2 linked regions of the Tribolium castaneum genome follow. The protein of the gene in region 1 interacts with the protein of each later gene in a biochemical or structural test. Links are inferred from orthologs where the notes say so. Each region holds a gene or a part of one and is shown in the gene's direction. Other genes may lie near its edges.

Region 1 (3,101 bases):
CAAGCGGTCATCGCGGACGATCAGACGGCCTGAAGCTATGGTGGATAAGTGGATGCGAGGGCAACCCTCCTGCCTAAAATGCAAACATTCGAAACCACAAAACAACAAGGAAAAAGTGAGTCGTGTAGAACTAATTACGAAGTGAGGAATTACTCAACTAACTGTGATTTAATAAATACTGTGACTACAAAACGGTGCGGTTCTACAACCACCCACCTAAGAATTTTTCTCTTAATCGTTCTAGTTCGACTCGAGAGTGTTTTTCTCGGCGTAATCACCGGTTTTCTCCGAATTTCCGGCTTTTTATAACTAATTCACACAATTAAATTCACGTAATTGATAAGTTCAGTTAACACAATACAAACCTTTTAATGTTTTTGTCCTGTGGCACAGGATGGGCCACTTCGATCAAGTCCCTTTCACCGATAGTCATGTACAGTTTGTCGGTTTCCACACTCGGGGGGTTAAAATCGGTCTCGATTTGCGAACTGAGAATATTTAAACCATCCTTGAGATATTTGGCCCACGGTGAAACCGTCCCATTATCACCCGAATCGGACGACTTTAACTGTGAGGAAATGTCTTGCAAAATGAAGTTATTGGGGCGGTAGTGTTTGACCTCAAAATCGTAACCCTTATCGCTGACTTTGGCCGTCTCGCAATAAACGTACACGTCCCTAAAGTTATCAATTAATGCCAGTCATTTTTCGCATCAAATGACTCACTTATTATCGACGGGATGCGAAATCACGACGTCTCCTAACCGGACATGCTTGTTATAGTCGGTGTAATGGGGGACTCCCCCACCCACACCGACCAAAAACACATAATCTACCTTCTGGAACGTCCCCAAAAGTCTCGTGGTTGTGTTACCAGCAGCGGTCATTGCTTCCCGAGTATGGCCCACTGAGGGCAATTTCGTGCACACAATACGGTGGGCCCCAATGTTCCCCAAAGTGTAAACATTGGATTCCCCTGGAAAATCACACAGTTACAAGTGCGCCAAGACAATGGCAAACACCCCGTGATAATTACAGTGTTAGTGAACAGTGGAAAGCATTTTGCATACAAATGCAACATTCACAAGTGATTTTCGTGATCTATGTACAAACACAAAATGGTGACATCACAAGTGATTCCCCCAGAACTTGCAATTATCTTACCGAAGCGGGCCCTCGGTTTGTCACCCGTGGGGCTACTGGGACCTGTTCAATAAAATTGCTGTTTAAAATTGGCGCTGTTACATGTCAACTGTCAAACACACCTAACCTCACAAACCAAACTTAGTGTGTGTTTTCACGATGATAACGCCGCGATTTAAGCTAACACAAACCGAATCAACCGTCACAATACAAATCCGAGCCCCGTACTGTAATTTAGGCGAGTTGGAGGTGACCGTCGACGACGACATCTTCATTTTCTACACCAGCCCCTATTACCTGCGCTTACACCTGCCCGGGCGCCTCGTCGAGGACAATTTCAGCGAGAGTTCGTTCGATTCGGACTCGGGACAGTTCAGTTTCACGATAAAGAAGGCAATCGACGGGGAACATTTCCCCGATTTGGACCTGATAACGAAACTATTGACCCCCAAAGTCGAAGTCACCGAAGACAACCGCAAAATTACTATCGTGGCCAATGAGGGAATCAAATCCCCGGACGAGCTGAACGAAGAGTTTGGGTTCGCACTCTGCGGCAAGGAAAACTTCAACCATGTCTCGGCCGAATTCAAGGACGTGTTTGAGGTCGACCCTCGCGAAGTCAATTTGGGGCAAAGGCACAAAATGCGGGTGCAGTTCGAGCAAGGCAAGTTCAATATCGATCACTACTTGAGCGACTACATCGAAAACGAGGAAATTTTGGAACTGATCGCGCTGGAAGCGCCTTGGGACAAGTTAAAGTCGGATGATGTTCAGTTCAGCGACCAGGAACTGGACTTCCTTAAGGATTTACCGAACAAAACGTACAACTTGAGCGAGACACAAGTCAATTATTGCCACTGTTGTCTCGTTGATATTTTATACGCGTATTGTTACGACCGACGGACGACCCAATTTGAGGGCACCTCTGAGTCGGGTTGGACCATTGTCAAGTTAGCCGCGACGTTTTGCTGGCTTGATGTTTTCCAAACGCCTAAGGATGCCCTAGTTAGTGCATTCCGGCGGAGTGTCATTTACCCGCTTTACCGGAATTTCGAACTTAACCGAACCGTTTTAACCGATTTGAGGAAACTACTCGATTTGGGCGAAAAATATATAATCAAGTGTTTGATTGAAATGTACCACATTTTTTTGACTGGCGATTGTTGCCGTTACATTCTTAACAATTTGTTCATTAAGGATTATATCATTTACATCATGAAGTGGGACAGGACGAAGTGGAGAGAAGTCGTTGAAGAAATTAAACAAGTGACGATCGAGAAGAGTGACCTTGGATTGAATCTCCAAGAAATCGAAGACGACGTTTGTCGTAATTTGGACTTGAACAATTTGCAAATCAGAGATGATGATTCGGACGACTTTAGTGATACTTCGAGTGACGATAGTTCAACCGAATCTGATTAATTCTATTGTCAATAAATTAGTGACTCACCTACTGTTGTATATCTCACGAAAGTCTCCTTGTTTTCAATCATCGCATCCACGGCCAATTTCTCACAGTACTGGGCTGTGATTATGGCGATTGTCGGTTGTTTGGAGCTGACCATCGTCGGCATTTGTTTCACGATAATTACTTGAGTATCGTGGGACTGTTGGCGGGTAAAAGCGCCATGTTCCATGGCTTTGACAATGTTGCTTGATTGTAAATCGGCAATGTGATGGGCCACTTCCTCCTCATCCCAACCATTTTCCCTATTTTTGTTTTGTTGATTTGTTTTTAATTGTAAAAATCAAGCCAATGACTTACTTTGCAATGTCTTGGATTGTGATAGGGTTCGGATAAGACGATTCAATTATTTCTAAGACTTTTTCGCGCGTCAGTAACACTACATTTCCCAATGAGTTTTCGTCGGCTGATACTGAAAAAATACAAATGAAAACAACGAAAATAATTTATAGTTTCCATAATTTATACGTCCTTGATATAATAATTAAATGAAT
Region 2 (4,185 bases), on another chromosome or scaffold:
TGACTTCAGACCCGTTCAACCCCACTTTAAAACCCTCAAGCTCGGCTGGAAGCGTCACCGACTTCTGGGCCTTCCTCTCCAGGACAATCTCCTCAGTGAGAAACTCAACCAGTTCACGTTCGGCTACAAGTTTGTTATTCCTCCAACTTATTGGGCTCACTTACGTACCTTTACTGTGTGCATGCTGGTGCCTGCTCATGCACCCACAAGTGCACAACTTGCTCAGTTTGTTTTCGGACTCATTGCGATTGCACATGTACCAAAGATTGCGCGCAAGTTGCCGCTGCTGGAAAGTGTTGGACACTTTTTTAACCGGACTCAGGAGCGTCTTGAAGCTGAGTCTGGACGCAACTCGAAGCAAATTATTCATTTTTATACTTAGTTTAGGCGAAATGCGTGAAAAAACCGGCCACAACACGTGCTATCAAAAAAACTGTCAGAAAAAAGCGACGCGCAACCCAACGCTACGAAAATCCCCAGAATGGCACCAACCCACAAACGATAATCACTAAATCGTCACCAAATTCCTCATAGGGTTGCCACACCTGTCCGGTTTTCACCCAGATGATTGTCCGGTGTCCAGATAAAATGTTAAACCGGACAATAATTGGCCAGTTTTCTTATAGTAATTAAAATTTTGTGGTCTAAAATTAAAATTAATGAAAAATTTAGAAAACTCTTCGATAGAACGATTTTTAATATTTAAAAAAAATCCTGGATTGAATTGGAAAAATGTAGAGTAATCAACTTCTAAAAATTGAAATTACATTTTGCAAACGGGTTACCGTATATAATTTTGCAAAAAAAACAGCTATAGAAGGGTACTTACAGTTGCGTCATATGTTATATTTCTTCTAAAACTATTGGCATTTTTTTTTAAGTTTTGTAATTAACTAACACATTCTGAGTTATTTGCCAAAAAGTTCGTAAAACTTTGCTAGAGTGAGTTTAAATTTTTTTTCTTAATTTTTGTGAAGGTAAGTGCCTTGATTATTAAAATTTTGAGCAAAAAATTTCAAAATTTTAAATGAAATAAAAAATGGACAATAGACTTTTGGTTTTTGATAAATATTTTTTTAATGTAAAACTTTATATGCCTCTGTACCTGGAACCGTTGACCGAAGCGGCTCCGGGTTTTGGCAAGAAAATAGATAATTTTAGGCGCTATCTGATGCTTTTTTGATTTTAGTTCTAAGTCTCAGTGTTTCCGAAAAAAAACACAAAAAAAAAGATTGCAATTTTTACATTTTTTAAATTTTTAAACACCGATTACAGCGCATAAAAACGCCAATGTTTACCAAAATAAAATAAAAAAAATAAAAGAAAAATCGTTTAAGACTCTAAATAACCGAAAAAACATTTCCCGCCATTTATTTCATTTAAATTTTTTTCAGTAGCGCCACTTAAAATCTGTCAAAATTGTTGTTAGTTGTCAAAAAACTAACCCTACTTTCTGTGTCGGATGCACGTGTTGGTTATTTTCTAAGCGATGTCTGAGTTTGGTAAGTTATTGTTTATTATTATCTTTAACGAGGCTTTATTTCGTTCTTTGATAAATAATTAGTGGTAGAAATGTATTTAGAGTTTCAAAAATAATGATTTTTTTCAAAAAACCGGCCGCTTTGTCTTATCGTTATTTAGAACGCAATTTTGTGCAGAGGCGGATACGCCCGTTAGGGAGAAGAAAAAGAAGAAAAGCAAGGGCGACAAAGACTTGGGGAACCTTCAAAAAGGCTCCGAATTTGCAGTGGAGCCCTCCTCAGTGATTGCAAAGTTGGACAGTTCCAAGTGGCCCTTGTTGTTAAAGGTGGGTTTTAAATTCGGTTTTTCGTTACATCAAAGCGTGATTTGCAGTATTTTGACCGTTTGAATGTGAGAACGAACCATTACGTACCTTTGCCGTTTGGTTCTTCCCCTTTACGAAGGGAAATTTCCGATTATGTTAAGTCAGGTTACATTAACCTGGACAAGCCCAGTAATCCAAGCAGTCACGAAGTTGTAGCTTGGATTAAAAGGATTTTGAAAGTGGAAAAAACAGGTCATTCGGGTACTTTAGATCCGAAAGTTACAGGTATTAAACTATTTAATTTAATTGAAATCATGTATATTTAATAATTGATTTAAGGTTGTTTAATTGTGTGCATTGAACGCGCTACCAGACTGGTTAAATCCCAGCAAGCTGCAGGGAAAGAGTACGTGGCTGTGTTTAAATTGCATTCAACTGTACAGGGAGGGACCCCAAAAGTGCTCCAAGGGTTGGAGAAGCTCCGAGGGGCCTTGTTTCAAAGACCCCCATTAATTTCGGCCGTTAAGAGACAGTTGAGGGTTCGCACGGTCTATGATAGCAAATTATTCCAATATGATGAAAGCCGAAATATGGGTAAGATTTTTACCAATACAAAGGACTAAAATTTTGGAGAAACACGACGCTCTAAAATGCAAAATAATGACCCTTTCGATTTTTCGTTTTTCATCATTTCGTGAAATATTTGCTCGAAAAAGTAAAAAATATTGATTTTTTTGGCACAGCTTGACAAAATTTTGCAAAAAAAAATAACTTCTTAACTACAGAACGTGCTAAAATGCTTGAAAAAAAATATATATATCAATATATCGGTAAGTATTTGATTTATTTTTGACGATATTTCGAGAAATAACTTTGTAAGGTGTCTGAAACTAGTGATGTTAGGCTTAATCTTGGCAAATTTTTGTGGAAATTTGCATTTCTGCGCCTGAAATGTGCTCGAAAAGACAAAAAACGTAATTTCAGTTCTCTCAAAGAATGCAAAAATAATCCTAAGATTTGCGGCTCTGGTGGCCGATTAATTTTTGTCGAAATTTTGAGAAATAATTATTATTATGAAGGTGAAAAACATAATATTTAGTCCAACTTAATGATTTTTGGTACAGGTTCATAAAAGAAACTAATGAATTTTTAATCTCAAAAAGGTCATAATAACACCATTTGGGATCTACTTGTAATACCTGTGACTTCGGTTTATTTTTGATGAATTTTTGAGAAATTAATTATGAAACTTTTGAAAAAGGCGAAATAATATCACTAATTGCAACCGAATTTAGTAATTTTTCGGTTTATTTTTTGCAAAATTTTGTGTTTTTTGGGTTTAAAAAATTTTGCTCTTATTTTGTAATTGTAAATTTTTAATTCAAAAAAGGTGTCAAGAAAACTGGGAAATTGTACAGAAAACCCCATTTTTAAGGCGTAACAGTGACTTTTCAGTTTATTTTTGACAAAATTTCGAAAAATATTAAATTTGCTAGTAAAAAGCATAATGTTATTTTTAACAGAATTTAGTCATTATTTGACTTATATCGTGCAGAATTTCGAAAAATAACTATTTCTTATCTAAAACGTCCGTGAAAAAGTAAAAAAATCATTTTCGGACTAATTTAACTAGCTAAAACTTTCGAAAAAAGACATTTCTGAGTGAGTTTAGTGACTTTTTGGCTTATTTTAGGCAAAATTTCATAAAATAATTGCGTTTCTGGGTCCCAACGCGCCTGAAAAGGGCAATAAACGTCATTTTTGGTCTTATTCATAAACAGTGTGACAAAATTTCGAAAGAAAATAGAAGTTTTTAACTAAAAAATGGGCGTAAAGGCCCGAAAAATTTTATAATTAGTATTTTAGGGAAAATTTTTGTGAAATAATAGTTTCTGTATCTGAAACGTACTCAAAGAAGGTGAAAAATTTCGTAAACCCCAAATAATACGTGCTAAACCTTTAGAAAACGACAAAATGGTGTAATTTTTTATTGAATTTTGTGATTTTTCGACTTTTTTTGAGACAGTTTCATGAAATAAATTATGTCTATCTCTGAAACGTGTTCGAAAAAGGCAAATTTATCATTTTTTGTTTGGTCCAATTTAGTTGCCTGACAAAGTTAATAAAACTTGTGAAGGTGAAGTTGACGATCGCCCAAAAAAAGTCTCAAAAAGACAAAAATAACGCCATTTGGCAAAATTTAGAGAAACAGTTACGTGTTTAGCTCAAACATTGTCTGAATTTCGCTCGAAATTTGTACTTTTTAACTTATCTTTATAATTTCGTAAAATACTTGTGACATTGGGTCTCAAACTTGTCACAGAAATGAAGAACACGTCTATTTTAGTGAATTTTTGACACAGTTTGACAAGATTTTACAATAAAAAACAGAAAGTTTT

Evidence for each region. The genes of interacting proteins can lie anywhere in the genome.
Region 2: the proteins of protein SHQ1 homolog (region 1) and Nop60B are reported together in a solved structure, tested with the Homo sapiens proteins (2 studies listed by BioGRID, with this or other methods). The link is inferred for Tribolium castaneum from reciprocal best matches to the Homo sapiens genes SHQ1 and DKC1.

The regions. Positions count from the first base shown.
Region 1 is NC_087397.1:6,232,149-6,235,249, forward strand, and holds protein SHQ1 homolog, read left to right. Parts: upstream 1-1,235; 5' UTR 1,236-1,301; coding exon 1,302-2,564; 3' UTR 2,565-2,592; downstream 2,593-3,101. Other genes in the region: uncharacterized protein LOC657396, read right to left, coding at 1-73, 217-309, 366-677, 726-975, 1,164-1,205, 2,593-2,852, 2,908-3,019. UniProt on the Homo sapiens protein: Required for the quantitative accumulation of H/ACA ribonucleoproteins (RNPs), including telomerase, probably through the stabilization of DKC1, from the time of its synthesis until its association with NOP10, NHP2, and NAF1 at the nascent H/ACA RNA.
Region 2 is NC_087394.1:7,767,144-7,771,328, forward strand, and holds the start of Nop60B (H/ACA ribonucleoprotein complex subunit 4), read left to right. Parts: upstream 1-1,385; 5' UTR 1,386-1,489; coding exon 1,490-1,502; intron 1,503-1,658; coding exon 1,659-1,807; intron 1,808-1,854; coding exon 1,855-2,071; intron 2,072-2,125; coding exon 2,126-2,380; intron 2,381-4,185. Other genes in the region: P32 (complement component 1 Q subcomponent-binding protein, mitochondrial), read right to left, coding at 1-123, 169-370.